Linked DNA regions of Diceros bicornis minor. The main gene of each other region encodes a partner of the protein of the gene in region 2 in a complex. Links are inferred from orthologs where the notes say so. Each region holds a gene or a part of one and is shown on either strand. Other genes may lie near its edges.

Region 1 (10,129 bases), on a different chromosome or scaffold from region 2:
GACAGTGTTTCTAATCTCCAACAGAAATGAGAATGATTTAACACTGCGTAAGACCTTGGCATGTGGAAACAATTGTTTGAATATGAGCCACAGACTGAGACCCCTCCTGACTGTTGTGTTTGGATAGCTCAGAGAGCAGATAATGCCAAACCATACACAGAATGACACACAGCTGGGATTCTGGAGATGCCCAAGAAAGACTGTTTCTTTAACTCACGCCAACAAATAATCCTATAATGTATTTTAAGACGCATAGACACAAGTCCTGTGCATGAAGTGGTTATGGTTACAAAAGGAAAAAATAAATATTTGTGCACACAGGCATAACGTGAAGTCCTTCTACAGTGAAAACAATGTCCTCTGGAAAGATCTTTGAAAGTCAGAGATGGTGCCATCGGCAGATGGAGCCAGTGAAGGGGTGTGGAGCAGCCTTTAAATGCATCTCAGGGCATTTGCATTGTTGGTGCGCCTGGTTCAATGATGCAAAATGAGGGGTGGGGGAGGGGAGGTGAACAGACACAACCCAAGAACACTCTGTTATTTGTTTATTTTCTACATGTGATGTCATAAGCAAGGGTTTTGCCCGTGTCCTAGTTTATCTGCAATAAATAAATAACTATGTACAAATGTGCTGAGTTTACAAAATAGTAGAAGAAAACCTTTGCATCACAAAAGATACATTATATGATACATTTTTTTCCACACACTAAAGCATGATTTCATCCCTAGCTCAGTTGAACCAAAGAACTTCTCTACCCTGTGCAGCAATGTCTAAAGTTGTGTACCTAGTCTTTCTACCAGAAAGCAAAGCTATAACGTGAAAATTCCTCAGTTTCTTGAGAATAAAGGACCTGGTTTGGCCTACTACTTATTACTGATCCATATTTAATTTGTTCCAGAAAGTTGGAAGCTATCTGGCACAGTTCTCCTCAGGCTGTACTGGGCAGACACCCCCTGCAGACCTTGTTACAATCCAGATTCTCATGCAGCAGGTGGGTGGAGCTGGAGCTCCTGCATTTCTAACCAGCCGCCCCGGCGCGGGGGCAGCCTCTGCTTCTTGTCCCGGGCCCCTGCTCCAAGTGGACAGGGTTAGAAGGCCTCTCTGAAGTGGGAGAAATTCTCCAGGGCCTGATCAAGGTGGGGCCCTAACTGAGCATCCTTCAGGCTCCATCCTCAAGCTCCCAAATCCCACAAAGGAGTAGAGCTGGGCTACAAATCACAACAACAGTAAGAGTCAAAATGGGAATTGGCCTGGATCATGCAGCTCAAAACTGTTTTCAACCGTCTCCTGGGACGTGCTTCTGTCTTCTCTCAATCTAGAGCAATCGAGTGAACGTCTTCAACATTGTCCAAAATAACTAATAATAATAATAATATAAAAAGAAACTGCATAAGAAGCTTAACAATAGTTACTACTTTTCAGTCCAAATCAAAACAACAACAATATAACCCAGCCTCACTGTCTAAAAAATAAAAAACTCCTTGGGGTTGAAATTCTATGACAGTTCAGCCACATTAGTTTAACGAATGCCCCTCACATCTTAACCTCTGTTAAAATGATATTGCTCTGGAAGCCTGAAATTTCAAGAAAAATTAGCAAATCTGGTGCAAAAGCAAATCCCCAACCGCTCTTGTCTTGAGATGTTTTGTCTCTGTTTCACAGGGGAGTCCGCCTAGGCAGACACTAAGAGCAGAGGGGTCTGACACAGGGCGGTGACTCAGGTGGGTTGGCTGAGTTCCTGAGGAGGGAAAATTGGGAGGAATGAGGGGGGAATACAGGGCTGGGCTTCATAAATGCAAGAGGACTGGGAAAAAAATTCACCAAGATAGTATAACTGCCACACGACAAGTGGGAGTATATAAATATAGAGATAGGGAAGGAGAAGGGGGTGGGAGGAGTGGGGAGGGATACACACAAGTAGGGAAAAAGCAAAAGAACAAGATTCTAAATACTCAAAAAATAAATATCTTGGTCATTATTGATGACTTCATTACACTCACTAGTCCACGAGATCACAGTCTGCCCCAAAGGCTGCCAACCATAACGCTCACCCATCCTTGGTGAGGGCACGGGACACTGGAGTCTGTGTCTTCATCATAAAACGGCCATCTCGCCCAGTTGTCCGATGACGTCATGGAAATGGCTGGGGCGCATAGTCCTTCCAATTCCCCCTCCCCAGCCATGCGTGGAATCAGAGAAGAAGGTGGGGACGGTCTTCTCCAGTTCTGATGCCAGCTAAGGTGCTTTGGGGTAGCCAGGGAGTAAGGCTGGGGGCGGGGGGCGGGCACAGAAGGGTGGCAAAGGCCCAGCCCACACCTGGGGCCGGGGAGGGAGGCCCCTCAGAGTTTCTGAGGCGTCCGCTCCGTTCCCACGTGCTGCAGCACCACCTCCTTGGCTGGGGCCCCACACTTGTACTCCAGCTCGGCCCGCAGGGCCCCTTGCTTCTTGCGCAGGTGGCAGAGGAGCGCCAAAAGCGCCACCACCAGAGACAGACTTGCGATGGAGATGCCAATAAGCACGACCGAATGCATGGGTCTTACAGGCGAGGGGCTCGAGGTGGCGCCGGGGGTCGGGCTGACCGGGAGCTCCCCAGAGCCGCCGTCTTCGTCGCCGCCGTTGGTCACCTTGGGGTCACAGTCAGTGGCAGCCTGGCCGGCGAGGGGTGAGTCGGGCCCGCAGATGCACTGGTAGCTGCCAGGGAGGTTGAGGCACGCGTCGGGGCAGTAGCCATTGTTGCATTCGTCGATGTCTGTGCACATGAAGCCCTCGTCCAGGATGTAGCCCTCCGGGCACTGGCATGTAGTTGGGTTGTTGGGGTCGCAGTCAGCTGGGCATGCAGTCTGGTTGCAGAACATCTGGCACCTGTGCGGGTCGTTGGGGGTGGGCGCGAAGCCCTCGGCGCAGACGCAGCGGTAGCCATTTTGACCCACGGGCTGGCACTGGTACTCGCACTGAGTCCCGAAGCATGGGTCCACGGGCTCCACGCACTCGCCGTCCACCAGGTCGTAGCCGGGGTAGCAGTGGCACTGGAAGCCGCCCTGAGTGTTGACACAGCGCTGCGGGCACGGACTGGGCACCAGCGTACAGTCGTCCACGTCCTCGCAATGGTGCTGGTCGGCAGCCAGCTGGTAGCCCGTCTCGCACATGCACGAGTAGGCGCCGGGCACGTCCGGGGTGCGGTAGCAGAAGTGTTCGCAGAGTTGGTCGCACGAGTGCTCCCCAGGCGCGGCGCAGGAGCGCCCGTCGGCCTGCAGGGCGGCGTCGGCCGGGCAGAGGCAGCGCGACGCCCCGGCGCTCCCGTTGCACTTGTGCTGGCAGCCGCCCTGTTCCACGCTGCAGTCCCAGGCGCCGGGCGCCTCCTGGCTCCAGCGCGCCTCGGCCTCTCCGGGCGGCGCCGCGCACTCCAGCTCCACTCCGAAGGGCCCTACAGCGGCGGAGCTACCCACCGGCAGCGCCTGGAAGTCCGCGCCGCGGGCCCCGAACGGGGTGCTGTAGGTGATCGAGACACTGGCGGCCGCCGCGGACTCCACAGCCAGGGGCCTGCAGGAGGCTGCGAAGTGAAACTCGCAGAGGAAGCCATCGGCCTCCGCGGAGCACTGCTGCTCCTCCCAGGCCGGCTCGCCGGGTGCAGCGGCCCCGGCCGCCGAGACTGTGACGCACAGCGGACCGCAGAGAGGTGCCCCGTCGCGGTGGAGCCGCGCCCACCTGCTGTAGCTGGTGCGGTTATCGCCCGTAACCCACTGGAAGCCGCGCAAGGGGCCGAAGTGCCCCGGGTCGCTGCAGCCGGGCGGGAGCTGCAGGCCGATCCAGAAGCGCTGGCTGTCGCCGCCGTCGCCACTCAGTAGCAGAGAGATGACATCAGCCGCCACCGAGGAGCGCACGGTCATCAGGTGGCCCCGCAGGCGCTCGCAGGCCTGGCTGGCGGCGAGGAAGGGCACGGGGCCCCGGAAGAGCGCGAAGCAGTCGTGCTCGACGCACTGGCTGCCGTGGGGCTGCGGTTCCGTGGGCGCCGGGAGCCCCAGGCCAGCGGGGGCCAGCACGCCGAGAAGCAGGACCCGGAGCATGCTGTCCAGGCGCGCCGCGTGCAGGCCCCGGGGAGAGCGCAGGCGCCGCGACGAGGCCGGAGCCCGGCCGGGGCCGAGAGGTGCAGGGCGCAGCCGGCGACAACCCCTCCTGTCTGTCCCAGCACGGACGCGTCCGGACGCGGCGCGCAACCCCGGCAAGGCAGCCTCTGACATGCCAGCGGGCCGGGGCCCGAGTTTATAAGTGCGCGGCCCTCCCTCCCTGGACGTTCGGGAAAAGGAAGGAAGTGCCTGGTGGGAAGGGCTGATGCTGCATTCTCGGATTACTGGGTTCTCCGGACGCCTTGCGCCCGCCCTCGCGCCTGGGATCACCTCGGGGGGATGAGTAAACCCAGCCCGGGCGCTGGTATGTCCCCGGGCGGGGCCGCCAGGCGCAAGCGCGGCGGGAAGACAGCACCTCTGTCGGCAAGGCGACAGTCCCCGCCCCGCCACTCGGGCCCCCACGCGCGCAGCCTGAAAAGAGGCTTAATCCGCAGCCCTTCCTAATTTCCCTGTCCTCTTGCTTTTTCTTCATCAATGTGTTGTTACCACCGATTTCAAGGAAGCCTGGATTGCAGAAGACTAGGAAGAAGAGACCAGGGCGAGGAGGGCTTTGAAGAGGGGCGGGGGAGGTAGTGCCCAGGACCCGCAGGGCTCGGGGAGGAGGTGCCCACCAGGAAGAGGACTTTGGAAGGGGCTGCCTCGGGCGAGGACTTCCCCAAAGACGCTATCTCAAGGGGAGAGAGCTGGACCCCATCCAGGCCAGTGGGGGTGCCCTCGGCCCCAGAAGACAGAGGGTGTGGCTGGGGCGACGACGGGCGAAGGGGTTGCACTGGCTTGATATGGACCCCCCCCGCCGGGCCCTCCTGCACAGCTAGGGACCCACAAGTCCCTGAACGCCAGCTCCCAAAGCCCGACCTCATCTGGTCGCGTGGGAAAGTCGTGGGGATACTGTCAGAGCTCCAAGGTCTTGTCACCCTTCAGAGGCAGTAGCAGCCTCGCCTGTAGGGGCGGGCGTGCTGGGGTGCGTGTTAGCCTGTTTGGTCTGTTTTCCTTCAGCTTCACAGAGACGCAATCCATCTGGCACCCCCAACGGGGCGCGCGGGGAGGCGCTGCGGACGCCAAGTGGATGCCACTCGGATCTGTTAAGGATTTTTCTATTTGGCTGAGAAATCGGATTGATACAGAGGTGCACATAAATGCCACTTGGGCGGCAAAGGCTACTGAAGAGGGGCGGTCCTGTGGACGGGCAGGGTGGGGAGAACTGGGAGGAGGAGGTGGGAATCTGTCACTTTTCGACCTTATCCGCTTATTCATTTACCAAGAATGCGAGGGGTGGGTCCAAAGCATAACCGAGAGTGGCAAACTTTTTTTTTTCTTTTTTGACATCCTATGCCGTTTCTCCGCTATGGTCACTCACAACGAAGCACCAGGAGGCGGCGCTGTTGAACTCTAAACAAAGCCAAAGAAGTCCGAGATCTCCAGACTAGGGCGGAAAAGGGTTAAGAACGTGGGGAACGCAGAGGCCTCGTCCTGGGGCAGGAAACTCGGCTCCCGGGAAGCCTTGCGCAGATCCCGCGGCTCACCGGGGTGTCCTGCTTTCCTGGTCCAGGAGAGCCCAGATTTTGTAAGAGAACAGGTGAGTGTGGCGTCCTCACAAGCGAAAGACAAGCACCTGTCGGCGGGACTGTACTGACTGACAGTGACCAAACGCGTGGGGCCTAGACACTGGGAAAGTGAAGCGGGAGATGTGCAATGGTCTCTCCCTATGCTCCCTGACGCCCGGCGGAGAGCCGGGCCCGCTGAGCGCTGCTCTGTCCTGAGAACGCTGTCCCAGCTCGTGGCACGGAAGCAGCAGGAACGCGGCGTGGAGACTGAGGTCCAAAGCTCCCAGGAATAGACGCGACTGCCCCTCTGGGCAAAGGAAGGAACCACCAGCAGATTGGAGAGTCCGGCTGTCCCGGGTGCGAGCAGGGCAGGCGCTAGCCTAACGTCCCCCTGGCTGCCTGGCCTGAGTCAAGGATCATGACTTCTGTGAACAGCCCGCCCACGCAGGGCTGGAGCTCAGGGCAGGGCTGCCTCTGGTGGCGCCAGCCCTGGGGGCAGAGTGTCCAGATATGGGCTGGAACACTGCTGAAAGAGCTCAGAAAGTGGGAGAAATTGCCTGGGTGCATGAGACAGGTGAGGCAACAGGACCAGCTACACAATCCTCACCACCCCTTGTTCAAAACTTTCCGAGAATTTCAAGACTGACAGTAAAGCATGAAACAAAGGGGGGGCCCTCCTGACCCTGCCAGCCCTCAAAGAGGTTGAGGGACACCCAAGTGTCAAGCCTGGCCCCACACCAGGCTGAGTCACTTCTTGGGTGAGTTTTGGTGGGACGTCCTATTCAGGTCACCTTGAGCCCAGTTACTGATTCTTGAAAAGAAAAAGACAGGAAGTTGGAGGCTGCCCCAGTAGCTGCGTCCAGGTGAGAACCAGATGGTGCCGGTGAGACTTGGGCCAACCTGTCTGAGGAGGTGCCGGCTGTTTCCATGTAGAAAGACACTAGAGCAACAACTAAAGGGAGCAGAGCACTGACTGGGGTGGGACCAGCAGTCTCGGGTTACCCCGCAGAAGAGTGGATGGACATTTTCCATCCTGCAGGCCTTGCCCCTGGCCCTCAGCACACTTTACCTCTGCCTTCTAGGGCCTGCCCTCTGCCTGCTTTCTCCTCTCCAGCCATCACTTTGAGGCTTTTTTGCACATTTTAAGCTACCCTCGTCTTCCTCTGCACCTCCTGCACAGGCGGATAGGCCCCTCCCTCTGTCTCTATGTGGATGAACCCCCCCACTTCCCTCTTCTCCCCACCCCTGCCCTGCCACCCACCAGAGGCTCACCAGCCAGCCTGTTTTACTGGAACAGCCCCCTTGAAGAGTACCCATCATCTCCTAAATACTGTGGCCAATAACTTGTTTTCAGTCTTCATGCTTCTAGATGTCTCTGTGCTGTTTGCACTCCTGAGCCCTCACTGTTCTCAAGCCTCTTCCTCCCAGGACTTCCCAGACACCTGTGCCCCTGCCCCTCCTTCTCTACCTGCCTGAGGGCGGCCCCTCTGACCCTCCTGCCCTGCAAGCCTGGCAAGTCCTCAGGTTCTGTCTGCCGTCTTCTCTTCTCTCCACCCCTATCTCTTAACATCCCACCCTTTGCCAGACTCACCCATTGCCCTTGCAATGATATCCATGTCAAAGGAGACTGGTGGAGGGAGGTCCCCAGAAGGGACCCTCAACCCATTCTTTCCCCATATCAATATTTACACCCCTCAGACTTACGCCGTCATCACTTCTGCCTCAGACTTCGTCAGTTTCCCTGCCTCATCCTTCCGATCGTCATTGCTCCTGCTCCGTCAGCTCTGTTCCTTGGTCTTCTCTCTCTCACTCTTCGCCCCTGCTGACACTGCCTGAATCCTTGCACCCCTTCAGGGCACCCACCACCTGCCGAGGGAAGCCCATGCTCCTTTCCTCTCCCTCCCCACTAGGCCCAGCCACACTGAAGATGATTGCTCATTGTGCCTCTACTCTGTGGCCACAAAATAGGAAATTTGCACTCAAGGGTCTCCACTGGGGTTCAGACCCAGAACCCTCCCCCTTCAAAGGCTGTTGTCCCACTGGTCCCCACGGATGCTGCCAGTACCAGCAAGAGGGGTTCCTGCTGCCCGTGAGAGGAATGCCTCACCCCATCTCACCTTCATTCCGTGGCTCATGTTTTTTCTTCTGCCAGGAACATTCTAGTCTTTACTTCTTCTTCATCTATTTGAAATCTGACCCTTCTTTTAAGGCACAGGTGACACGCTGCCTCATCAGCAAGTTACAAACCAGAGCTGATCCCTGTGAAGTTCGTAGGCCTTTCTATCAGCACTTTAGCGCTAACTGCGCCTTCCCAGCCTTGTAAGTAATCACGTCCACATCGTGCTCTTTGCTACTCTTACAATCTAGTTTCCTGGGGTGAGCATGTTCTTATACATCTGTGCACCCCAGACGCCTGCCAGCAGTTTTCGTGCATAGACTGCTCAGGAGTCGCTTGAGCACCTGCTGTGGAGTTTCTTTGTGCCCCCTCCTGTGTGACTTTCTCATGTCAACCTGCAAAGACAAGGATGGGGACCTCAGGGCCTCAGGGTTGGGGGTGTGGGCTTTGGAGCCAACTGGGCTGGACTGAGCCCCAGCCCCATCGTTTATAAGTCATGTCGTATCTGGCAAATACCCGGCCTCTCTGTGCTCCAACTGTGTGATGAGAATCATAACAGACTCCCCTTCAAAGTGTGTGATGTGAATTAAATGAGTTGTACATGGAAAGCATCTAGTACCGTTGAGCCATAGTAAACTCTCAACAAATTTTAACTAAAAAAGGATACACTCTGGCCCCTAAAATTTGAATTCAGTCACTGATTGATAGTATTCGACACCCGGCATGGTTCCTTGTCCAGAGTAAAGACTTGCTAAATGTCTGTTGGGTGAAATTCAGTTCAGCTGAGCATTTTTACCAATAAGAGCAATAAGCAATTTTGGGGAAAAAACAAAAAAAAGAAGGACAAAAGGAAGTTTAGGGATCCAGGAGGAGTAGGGAAGGAACTGAAGGCAGCAGGAGAAGCGTGCCCTGGGTCCCTGTGCGCCGGGAGGCTTAGGTGAAGGCTCAGACTCACTCCCAGTCTGCCCCGAAGGCAGCCCATGTTAATTCCTCATTTTCCAGAGGAGAAAGCTGAAGGTCAGAGAGGAGAAGTGACTTCCCAGGGCCGCACAGCTGCCCTGAAACCAAGGCTCACCAGCCTGCTTTAGGATGAAAGAACCAAAGTGGAGTCAATCTGACCCCGAGTTTGCCCTTTAACACCCCCGATTTTAAGTTTCTTAAATCTCTGGTTTTCTCCCCCCAAAACTGGAGATATAATATCTAATTTACAAAGTTGTGAAGTTAGAAAATATACACACAGTGACTATTAGCTTTCTTGGAATGTAGCAGCTGGTGAACAAATACAGTGGTTACTCCTGGTGAGAAGCTCTGTGCAGGGCTCCCAGGGTCACTGGCGTCCATCTGGGAAGTCTGGCTCTTTCGATGGGAGTTTCTGTTTGATGTCTGCGGGGCAGCTTGGACCAACTCTCTGACAGGGAACAAACTCCTGCCATTTGTACTGAAGGCAAACGTGTGTGGCTGCTGTGAAAACAGAGCTGAAGAGGAGTCCAGATACAAAAGGGCCAGGGACAACGTGCTGACCCCACATACCTTAGCCAAAGAGCTTTAGCAAGTGTGGGAGGCAGTTTTCTTCTTACAAGACATAAAAATAACTTTCTAGTTTCAACACAAACACCTGCCCTTGGGCTTGTTAACTCCTCAGTCCCCTGATGCAGACCACCATTTTGCACTATTTCTCTCCCAAGCACATGGGCAGCTAGACCCTGCACTGAAACATATGCGGGCTCAGAACATAAGCCTCTCCCATGGAGGAAGGGAAAACCCGCCTGTCAAAATGCACAATCCTAGGCACTAAGGACATGGGGATTGTTGAGATATGTGACTGACTACCAATTGTTGCTGGTGGTAACAGTTCCAGGCCCCCTGGATGGAAACTGCTGTCACTACCACTTGGGGGTGAGGGAGATGAAAGCTACCTACACTGTCCAGTACCGTAGCCACCAATCACCTGTGGTCACTTAAATTTAAATTCGTTAAAATTAAAGTTAAAAATTCAGTTCTTCAGTCTCACTAGCCACATGCCAAGTGCTCAGTAGACTAGTGACTACCAAATTGGACAGCACAGGGAGACAGCATTCCACCATCCCAGAAACTCCTGTTGAACCGGCCGGGTCCACACATAGAGCCAGATCATGTCACCTCAAGGAGATGATTGGTGGGAGCATGTGAGTGTCACTTTCTTGGATTCAAAAAATACTCTTTTATGCCAATTGTTGTTTTCAAGATAATGGTTGTCAAAACTGCAACCAGAATCTATAAGGGAATATTAAGAGGAGTGTTAAAATTATATAGCCATTATTAATACTTGACTAATAAATACATCAATATAATTTTTAACCTTGAT
Region 2 (10,607 bases):
ATAGGGGCACAGCAGAAAAAATAGCTGGGATGACTGAGGATATCTACGCAGGCAGTAGGTCAATTTCAGAATGCCTACCACACACACATTTATCATCGGCGTGTGTGTATGTGTATACGTGTATATAGGGGGCGGGCTTGGTAAATATAGCTGCTTTTGTTACCACAATTGATGACTTGCTCTAAGATCAGGCCCAGGAGTATTCGGTCCAACAGAGATGCCTGAAGGACAAAGAACCCACCCCATATTTGGCAGGTTGATTACTGTCACTAATTCTTGACCCCTGCCGGTATCCCCATCCTTTGCCTTGTGATTTTACAGGCAAAGGTGTACTTCTCCACCTCTTGACTTTGGCCTTGATCATGTGGCTCACTCTGGCCAATGGAACGTGGGCGGAACTGACTGCACCAGTTCTGAGTCTCAGCCTTAAGACACGCCATGTGTTTCTTCTCACTGTGTCATACTTCCGCCGTCACCATGGGAGGATGGTGCCTTTCAGCCTCAGCATGAGTACAATGGGGAGAAGACCTGGACCCAACCCGCACAGGAAGCCAAGCTCAGCTGGACTCATCGTTTGAAGCAGAGCCTCAGCCCACGTCAGTGGAGCCCACAGACACATGAGCAAGTGCAGCCGAGATCAGAGCTGCCCCAGCCAACCCTCAGACACATAAGAAATAAATGCTTATTGGCGTATGCCCCTGAGCTTCTGCAGTTGTTTGTGATTTTGTGGGTTTTGCAGCATCATTGTGGCTATAGCTAACTGATACATCACGGGAAATAACAATGACAGAATCATTCAGGGCTGGTCTGTATGAGGCTTGCTCTGTGGTGCCCAGAAAAGGGCGTGTGGACTGAAATGGTTAGGGAAGAGTGTCTGAAGCAGGAGCATGTTGGAATGAGCCACAGCCTGGATCACAAGGAAGCAAAGACTGGGGAGGGAAAGGAGGAGGCTGGAAGCCAACTCTCTCTGGTCTCTTGACTTTACTGAGCAACAGGCCCAAATATGTTAGAGATGAATAACCTCCTCTTTTCTTTTTTTTTTTTTTTTTTTTGTGAGGAGATCAGCCCTGTGCTAACATCTGCCAATCCTCCTCTTTTTTTGCTGAGGAAGACTGGCCCTGGGCTAACATCCATGCCCATCTTCCTCCACTTTATATGGGACGCCGCCACAGCATGGCTTGCGAAGCAGTGTGTCTGTGCGCGCCCGGGATCCGAACCTGTGAACCCTGGACCGCTGCAGCGGAGCGTGCACACCTAACCGCTTGCACCACCAGGCCGGCCCCTGAATAACCCCCTCTTGAAGGGAGCCAGGATCTTGGTTTCCGTCCCAGGCTGCCAGGCCCCATGAAGACCCCTGGCTGGGCCTTGGCCACAGACTGCCTAGTCGCCCCAGCTCACCACACACAGGGACGCTGCACTCTTCCCTCCGCACGGTGGGGTCTGTGGTGTAGCACCAGGGCCCCGTGGTGCTGCCATCTGGGTTGCGGCAGAAATTCTCCTGCAGTTCGGCCTCAGGGTGTGTGGTGGAGTTGATTCTGGAATAGGAAATTGCTCAGCAGGAGACCCTGGCCCCTCAGTGTCTCCTTGCCCCCATTCTCAGCCCACTAGCAGATAGGTCTGCCATCACTCACTCAGGCTTATGTGGGTAGCGACTCCTCCACAGCTGGCACTCAATGCCTGACCGGGTGAAGCTCACGTTCCCTCGGTAGTTCACACCCAGACCTTCAGCACAGTTACCTGCAGAGATCCCGGCCCAGATCTCTTACCCTGAGAATTTTCCCCCACTAGCAACTCCCCCTAGGATTTGTCCCTCTCTCCTAGCAAAGCTCTGTCTGTGCACCCCCTCCAAGCTCCCTCTGGTCCATGACCCTTAACCTGCACTTACTCGGCACCTCCTCTGCACCCAGCAGTTCCCCAGTCCATTTGACAGTAGTCACTAAATGTTCACTGAGTGTCCACCATGTGATAGACACTGTGCCAGGTACTAAGGACACAACAATGAATAAGACAGTCACAGTCAATAAGACAGTCATAGGTCCCTGCCCTCATGGAGCTTATATTCGGTGGCTCCTCATGGCGAGCAGGATGATAAAATGAACAAGCTCCTTCTAATCCGTCCCTGGTCTATCTGTCCTGTTATCTTAGCTCCTCATGCCTCCTCCTCCTCCAGGCCCTTTGCACATGCTGTTTCCTTTGCCTGGAATGCTCTCCTGTTTATTCATCAGCACATTCTACAAATCCAGGTAAAACTCTACTTCTTCTGGGCAGCTGTCCCTGATCCTGCCAGCAAACTAAACGCCCCTCCTCCTGGCACTCTCTTGGCCCCTGGAACAGAACTTTGCCAGCCATCACTTTGATGTTTTGTCATTTTGTTTTCCTATGAGATTGTGAGCTCCTTGATTCTCTTAAACCCCCAGAACTTGACACAGTGCCTGGCACATAGCAGGGACTTAGTGAAATGTCTATTGAATAAGTTATTTAACAAGTGAAAGTATGGCCAGTGATCAACGAGTTGCCTGTAGTGGGGCCTGTTGTCATACTAAAGGTGTGTTCAGGACGCTGTGGAGGAGGGAGGGGGCTCCCTGAAGGCTCAGCAAGGTGGTGGCATTTGAACTAGTCCATGCAGGACAGGGAGGTTTTCAGTAAGTGGTGATGGTTGCTCAAGGGGATGATGACAAATTAAGCAAGGGCCAGGCAGTAGAAACATCTTGGCATGTTTAGAGAAATGTTGGCTATCAGAGTAGCTCAGGCTCTGTGTTCATGGTTGGTGCAACAGGAGGGAAGGCTAGAAGGGGAGGTTAAGGTTAGGCTGCCAAGTTCACCAGCCTAAGCAGCCTGTGCTTTATTCTGGGGGCAATGGGGAGCCACTCAAGGTTTTGGAGAACGAAAGTGATGTCATGGGAGCTCTGCCCTGGGGGCATGGGGAAGACTAACTGGCGTGGGCAGGAGCTCATGAGAATGAGGCCTTAATGTTAATTCATTATCCATTTACTTCTTCCTTCAACATTAATCATCTTAGTGACCAGCAGGTACAGAGCCAGGGGCAAAGACACAACCTCGACGGCAGGAACAGCAAGGCAAAGTCAGATGCTAGGGGCCACCGCTGCTGGGCCACAGCCCCTAACCGACCCCTACTCTGCTCTTCTCCCAGACTGCCCCTCTCATATCCTGGCCCCCACCCTCATGCCAGTTCCTCACCTTCCAGACACTCAACGAGATCTTCTCGAGGTATCCTCACCGACTCACAAGCTGGAAAAGACCCAGAAACACCTTTGGGATTGTGGTAGGGACAGGATGGGCTTGAGTAAAAGGAGGGTGGGACGACATTCAGAAACAGAGTAGGATAGATGGATGGAAGGAAGGAGGAAAAGAGATTGGGTGGATAGGTGAGTGATAGGACAGACCAGAAGATTCTCTAACTGGGGTCCCCAGGATTCCTGGAGCACACCCTTCCCAGGGCTCACCTGTGTACTTGGTCCAGAACGCATCCTGAAAAACAAGGGCTGGCATGAGGCTGTGGCAGGATCCCGTTTGGTTTTGTTGTTTAGTAAACTTTATGTCTCCTCCTTATTCTTCCCTCTTTTCCTTACCCCGGTCACGCAAGGGGCAGGCTCTGGGGACGTTTGTGGCACAGTTTCCTACTTTTGCTCCAAAAACCCAGCTCGTTCAGAAGAGTATTTGAAGGGGGGGGGGCTCCCTCAACCAAAACGGACAGGGATTCCCCTGGGTGCGGAAGACTGGCGGAGAGGGGAGTGTGGGGCCCAGGCAGAGCCCCGCGGAAGGGAAAGGCTGCACAGGGTCCGTGGAACGCTAAGGCCTTGGCCCAGGGCTCCCAGCCTACCACACGCCCACCTCCCACAGGCGGCACAGGAGTATCGGAAAAGCTGAGGCCGAGAGGCCAAGTGGGCCAGGGGCCCCAGGGACCCCAGTGTAGACAGATGTCTGAAGACTAAGGAGGCCCCGTGACGTCCTGGAGCCTCATTGGTCCCTGGGACCTTGACACAGCCCAGGCACTGGGTCCCCCCCAAGAAAGGCTGAGGTTGCTCATCTTGGCAGCCCAGTGAAATGGGGCTCAGAGACGAAATCAAGTTGTCAACAGTTTAGGAGCTGTGATGTTGGCTCCTCTCATCTGTGGCCCTAGAGGTGGGCCCACATCGGGGGAGCCCCGGCCTCCCTCCGAGCAGCCCAGCCTCACCGTGGCGCTGGAGGACTCCAGGGCCTCTGAGGCCTCCTCGCGGCTGCACTGCTCCTCTATGCACTCCCGCTCCAGGTTGCCCTTGCGCACCTCCTCCAGGAAGCCACTGTTGGCGCGTCGGACCCGCTGGAGCAGCGACAGTGCTTGCTGAGGGGCCAGGAACACTGCAGTAGGAGGGGTGTGGGACAGCGGCCTCAGGGGGTCAGGCCATCTTGGCCACCGTGGGGGCAGGAAGCAAGCCTGGCCTGCCCTGCTGGCTTCTGAAAGGGGATGTCTAGGATGGCAGCAGGACTCAGGAAGCTGCTAAGGGTAGCCCACTAGCTCCCCTCCATTCACTGGTCACCCCCAGCCCACTCCCCAATTGTAAGAGAGAAGCAGTCACTGTCTGTCCGGCCCTGAGCACCCGGCTCCTTCCCTAAGCTAGATACCTTGGGCTGACCCATCTAGGGGCCGGCCCTGTGTTCTCCACGGGTGGAATCCTGGTCTGTCAGTCTGTGCGGGATTCCGAGCCCCCTTACCATGCTGGCTGTGCACAAGGCTAAACAGGGCAGCCACAGCCAGGCAGCCAGGTAGCCACAGGCCTCGGACGTGCGCCATAGTGTGTGGGCTGCTGGGACTCTGAGAGTTCGTCCTGACCCCTCTGGGTTAATGTTGAACTAACATGAAGAAATCAGCCTAGAGGCAGAGGTCAGCAGGTCAGGGCCGTGGGGACAAGTGGATAGATAGTCCACCCCCACCATCTGGGGGTACAGGTCCTCCTGCGACCAGGGATGGATGGTCTGGGAGGAAGTCACAAAGGAAAATCAGTGTAACTACTATCGTCCTGCCCCTCCTTCCCTAAGACATGGGTCAACTTGGACCAGTTCCTGAGGCCCCTTCCAATTCCAACACATGATGATGGTTGCTTTAATCTCTGTGTGCCTCAGTTTCCTCATCGGTACAGTGGGAATAGTACTTTGCTATGAGGACTAGAGGAGATTAGGAATGTAAGCCCATGAAACACAGTGAGGGCTTAATAATCAGAAGATACACGGATATAAACCAACCGGGAGGTTCGTGTAATCATAACACATAGATAGAAGAGAATAGAGACAAGGGCATCGCCAGATTAGAGCTGCCCACCTTGCCCCATGACACACTGGGGGCAGGGACGGCCAACATTTACCCCAGCCTCTCAGCCCCTGACGGAGGGTCCCATTTCCCCTCTTTCCCATCTGGGAAGCTGTGGAGGTGTGTTTGTGTGTAGTGTTCCCCGGGAGGAGGAACCAGGTCCAGGGCTTCCTGGGCCTCTGGTCATCCCAGGACTGCTGCCCTCCCCAGAACAGGGGCAGCCCAAATCCCGGGGTCTCCGCGGCAGGGACCCCCTTTCCCTGCACCCGTCTGCCCTGGGCCGGGCCTAGAGAGGCTGCTGTCTTACACTGCCCTCGGCCAGCCCTGCTCCCGTCCCTCCTCCACTTCCTGTTTACAGGACGCAAGGTAAATATTAGTCCTAGTCTAGTTAGGACAGAGGGACAAAGAACAGGAACACAGGGAGCTCAGGCTCTTGCCTCGCCATCCTTTAGGCCTGGCCGTTCGGCATCTGGACTGCGGTCGTGTACAGTCTGAGATCGCAGGGAGGGGCCTGGTGCAGAGCAGGGAAGAGAGAAGGCTGGCAGAGAACGGGGGACCAAGAATCAGCTTAATTCCTGGGTGGCCCAGTTCCTATACTTACATATATTTATATTTATATTACATATTCCTATTTTTCTATATATATATTTTTTAAATTGAGGTTTAATTTATATACAATAATGTTAAAACAAATCCTAAGTGTTTAACTCAAATTTTTATGCATACACCCATGTAACCACCACCAGATCACGAGAGAGAACATTTCCAGCCCCAATAGGCCCTAGGATAACCGCTATGCTAACTATAGATAGTTTTGCCTACTTCTGAACTTCATATAAATGGAAACCTACGGCATATACCTGTTTGTGTCTGGCTTCTCTCGCTCAGCATGTTCCTGAGATTCATCCATGTTATGTTCCTTTGAAGCTGCATAGTATCTCACGGCATGAATAGAGCACATTTTCTTTATCCATCCACCTGTTGATGGGCATTTGGATTAGTTTCCAGTTTGGGCTATAATGAGTAATGTTGCTATGAATATTCGTGCACAAGTCTCTGGGTGTAGATGAGCACTTATTTCTGTTGGGTTACACGCCCAGGATTTGCTGGGTCATAAGGCAGGCATGTTTTGCTGAAGTCGCTGAGACAGTTGTCCCAAGTGGCTGTACTAGTTTACGCTCCCACCAGCCATGTTGGAGAGTCCCGGTTGCTCACGTCCCCCCCAGCCCTCTATATCGTCCATCCATTTCACATCAACCATCCTGATGGATGTGCAGGTGTGTCTCACTGAGGTTTTAATTTGTATTCCCTGTTGACTAATGACACTGAGCCTACTCTTTTTTGGGGAGGGAAGGAAGTGGAATGGTACAAAGATCTCACCTCACTAATTTCTTAAAAAGTTACATCTTGAGTAAGGGAAGGGGGTAGGGCTCCTGAAAAGGGGAGAGAAGAGAGGTGTGGCTTCATCCTTCCTGCCTCGAGGCAGGTGACCCTCCCTTTCCTGGGGACCAGGTTGGGCCAGTGCTGACTCAACCTGGAAAGGGAGAAGAGGTGAGAGGGGGTGTCAGCAGGGGGAGAGATCACCTAACACACGGCACCTCTTCTACTGAGGAACAAGGGGCCTGCTGACTGCTCCCTGTTCCCCCGCTGTCAGGACCCCCCAGTCATGACAGACAAGCACCACGCGCAGACATGGCTGTTAACGAGCAAGTCTTGGGCTATGTCTTCCTCAAGCTGTTTGCAGACAATGTTCCAAAGCAGAAAACTTCAGTTCTCTGAACACAGAGAGGACGAGATTTGGTTATACGGGTTCCTGCTTTCCCAGACTTACTCCTGGATTTATGTGTCAGGTGATGAATTTACACACCACAATAGTACTGCCAGGGGGAGAACTTTGCTGATGAGAAATTCATTTTGAATATGGTCCTGACATCTTGTCCACGGCAAATGCTGGAGCCAACCCAAATGGCCCCCAGTTTGTCATCCACACGGTTAAGACTGACGGGCTGGATGGCAAGCACTGGCTCTCTGGCAAGGAGAGAGATGGCATGAATATTGTGGAAGCCACGGGGCATGCTGGGTCCAGGAATGGCAAGACCAGTCAGAAGACTCTGGGCCCTTCTGACGAACTTGCTCTTGTGTTTATCTTATACCCAACCACTCCTTTTGCCCCTGAGGAGAGCGCCCCCAGCTCTCACACCCTGTAACCTCTGTGTTCTCTCCTGCTGCAGTTCTTGTATTTCATATATCTCGTCTCCCTTCAGGTCTAGTTGGATTCAGAGTTAAGTTTATCGTTGTGAAACAAAAACGAAACTACCCTCAGAACATACTATAATGTTCGTCAAGTATCACAATGCCTGCCACACAGTAAGCACTCAGTAAACAGCAGTTATATGCTATTTTGCAACAGGCAACACACAATGCTGCCTATAAAGAGTTTTTCCTAAAATGATGAATCTGGATCTAATCAACCTCTAACTTTATTTATTTTGGTGAGGAAGAGTGGCCCTGAGCTAACATCTGTTGCCAATCTTCCTCTTTTTGCCTGAGGAAGACTGTCGCTGAACTAACAGCTGTGCCAATCTTCTTCTATTTTGTATGTGGGACGTCACCACAGCATGGCTTGATGAGCGGTGTGTAGGTCCGTGCCCGGGATCTGAACCTGTGAACCCCAGGCCATGGAAGTGGAGCGCACGAACTTAACCACTATGCCACTGGGCCGGCCTCTCAGCCTCTAACTTTAATTACTAGTCTGCAGGAAATACAGATGATAAAGGAATAAGTTAGACACCACAAGGAATGAGCAACATTTTTCAGGACAAATGACCCCAGTTTCTCTGACAAATTCATGACATAGAATAAAAGGGGTGGGTGGGAAAGACTGTCCAGAATAATAGAAACCTAAGAGAGACCTAACAACCAAATGCACCAGGGAAACAGAATTACCATGATTGGTTTAGACTTTCGAAGAAATCAATTGTAAAAAGACTCTTTTTGGACAAGCAAGAAAATTTAAATATAGATTAGGTTCTCATTCAAATGAAAGAATTATTGTTCATTTGATAAGTATTATATGACACATGGTTATATTTTTTATATAAGTTATAGTTTTATATAACTTATGAGTTATAGATTATACTGAAGAACTTACAACAAACATGAAACAAGCACGGCAAAATGCTAACAATCATTAAATCTAGGTGGCTAGGGGATTGTTATATTATCCCTTTTAATTTTTTGTGTTTGAAAAATTTCACAATGAAAAGTAAACTTAATTCCTTAATAAATGGAGGCTAGCAGTAAGTGGATTCTAGTTAGACAGCCTTCACACGTTCTTGGGTGAACAGAAGACCACATCCACCCTCTCTACTTTGCAGAGAGCAGTGCTGCCCACCTGCGGAATGCAGCCTTGTGCTCGGAGAGACGTGGAGATGGGAGTGCACATACGAGTCCTTTCCCACGCAGTTTCTAGGACGGCTGTGAGAGTCCACAGGGATTCACAAGTTCTCTTCAAGTAGTGAATGTTTCACGATGATCTAGGGAGAGCAGAGATCTAGGGAGAGCATCCCCTTTGTGAGTGGCTCTGGAAGGATCCAAAAGTTCTGCCAGACCAGGGTGGCACCACCACGGGTACAGAAATCCAATGGACCCAGCACACCCCTAGTCTTCAGGGTCCACCAGAAGAGCCCCAGCCTCCAAGAACTGTTCTCCTTGGAACTCTCTGGGCCCAGTGAGTATCATGCAGCTGAGCCTGTCATTCCTGCTTCTCACCACAAACACGTACCTGCACACTTAAAGCAGATCATATTTGCCTCTAAGAACAAGGCCATATTGAGGGGTTGCATTTCTGCCCAACAAGCTGGCATCAAACAAAATCGTGGGCAAGACCAATGCTACGCTGTAAAGCGAAGCTCTATAATCACTGAAAACAGTAAAATTATCTTCTAAGCGAGAATTTCAGAAGTGGAAGCAAGATCAAATATTGTTAAATCTGGACACTTCAAAGCCTGGGGCTCTGTGCATGTACTACAGGGTGGTCTTACCTTTTTGCATATTAAAAAAAACCTCAAAAATTGTAAATTTACCATAAGACAAAACTAATGTTTTTCCTTTTGACTAAAACTATCTCTCTTCAGGTGGTTAATTACCTTGTTTTTCTCTACATGATCAGCAGTTTTCTATTTTGATAAAAAAATATGAGTAAGTCTGTTTCTACTCAATAGAAATCTTTTAAAACATGGGATCCATAGAAGAAATAATGTTAGCAAAAGGACTCCAGGGTGGAGCAGAGATCGGGAACCACTGATGTGGCCCAATTTGCCCATGTCACTGCGAGGAGATGGAGGGATCTGAGTGGGGAAGCTAATCGATCAAGGCCCCACAGAGAATCGGTGGTAAAGCCAGGACCAGGACCCGCACTCCTCCCTCAGGCCATCGCTCTTCTCCTCCCATGACCCTTGTCCCCTGACGTTCCAGTAGAGTACAGCCTCGCTGTACTATCAAGTGTACCCAGAGGACATGCAGCCAAGTACATATCTATTGTGTAAGTGATGCTGGCCTGCCCCAAACAAGCAAAACCTATAGGAAACACGTACATACCTTAATCTTGGGTGGATTACAATACTATTAACAACCAGCTCCAATTCAATAATTGTTCACATGCCAGGTACATAGCACTGATGAGACAGGTATCTATTTATTCCCATTTTATGCATGAGGAAACTGAGGCACAAGGAAGCTAAGTAACTTGCCTGAGTTCATGCAGCTAGTCAAGGGCAGGGTCACGACCCACACCCGAACCTGGAGATGTGCTCTTCACAGTCCATGACGCTTTGCCTTGTTCAAAGGTCACTACACGTGATTCCAATTTTATTCTATTGTAAGATTTTCTCAGACTATGAAAGTTGCAAATCAGGGCAAATGATCCTCTATCGCCCGCGCTCTCTGATGTCTGGGTCAGCGGCTATCGACGTCGCGAGGTTAAACTTGCATCCGTGAAAAGGCGTCTGGCAACGCTTTCATGGCACCCGCGCCCTAGAGCAAGCAGCAGCACTCAGATTCAGTACCCAATACACCAAACTGTCGAAAGTGACTTGATCAGGGGATGGAGGAAACGATGGGAATAAGGGGACTTTCAACATTACGATGAACAAGATTCTCAAACAAGGGGGAAAATATTTTCTCAATGAAAAAAATATTCCAGTGGCCAGTCTTTCAAAGAACAGTCATTGCATTTTATTTTAATTGGAAGAGCATGAAATTAAGAGTTACAAGACCTGGGGCTGGCCCGGTGGTGCAAGCA

Evidence for each region. The genes of interacting proteins can lie anywhere in the genome.
Region 1: the proteins of F2 (region 2) and THBD are in contact, whole or in part, in a crystal structure (PDB 1DX5), measured with the Homo sapiens proteins. The link is inferred for Diceros bicornis minor from reciprocal best matches to the Homo sapiens genes F2 and THBD. Residues at the interface, in NP_000497.1 of Homo sapiens: Phe382, Ser385, Pro386, Gln387, Leu423, Arg425, Thr432, Arg433, Tyr434, Arg436, Asn437, Glu439, Lys440, Ile441, Met443, Lys470; in NP_000352.1 of Homo sapiens: Ser424, Cys425, Glu426, Cys427, Tyr431, Ile432, Leu433, Asp434, Asp435, Thr440, Asp441, Ile442, Asp443, Glu446, Asn447, Gly449, Phe450, Asp479.

Annotation. Positions count from the first base shown.
Region 1 is NC_080758.1:49,362,942-49,373,070, forward strand, and holds THBD (thrombomodulin), read right to left. Parts: upstream 4,369-10,129; 5' UTR 4,240-4,368; coding exon 2,341-4,239; 3' UTR 533-2,340; downstream 1-532. UniProt on the Homo sapiens protein: Endothelial cell receptor that plays a critical role in regulating several physiological processes including hemostasis, coagulation, fibrinolysis, inflammation, and angiogenesis.
Region 2 is NC_080770.1:23,572,963-23,583,569, forward strand, and holds the start of F2 (prothrombin), read right to left. Parts: upstream 4,960-10,607; 5' UTR 4,793-4,959; coding exon 4,714-4,792; intron 4,360-4,713; coding exon 4,196-4,359; intron 3,490-4,195; coding exon 3,465-3,489; intron 3,250-3,464; coding exon 3,199-3,249; intron 1,738-3,198; coding exon 1,632-1,737; intron 1,536-1,631; coding exon 1,399-1,535; intron 1-1,398. UniProt on the Homo sapiens protein: Thrombin, which cleaves bonds after Arg and Lys, converts fibrinogen to fibrin and activates factors V, VII, VIII, XIII, and, in complex with thrombomodulin, protein C. Functions in blood homeostasis, inflammation and wound healing.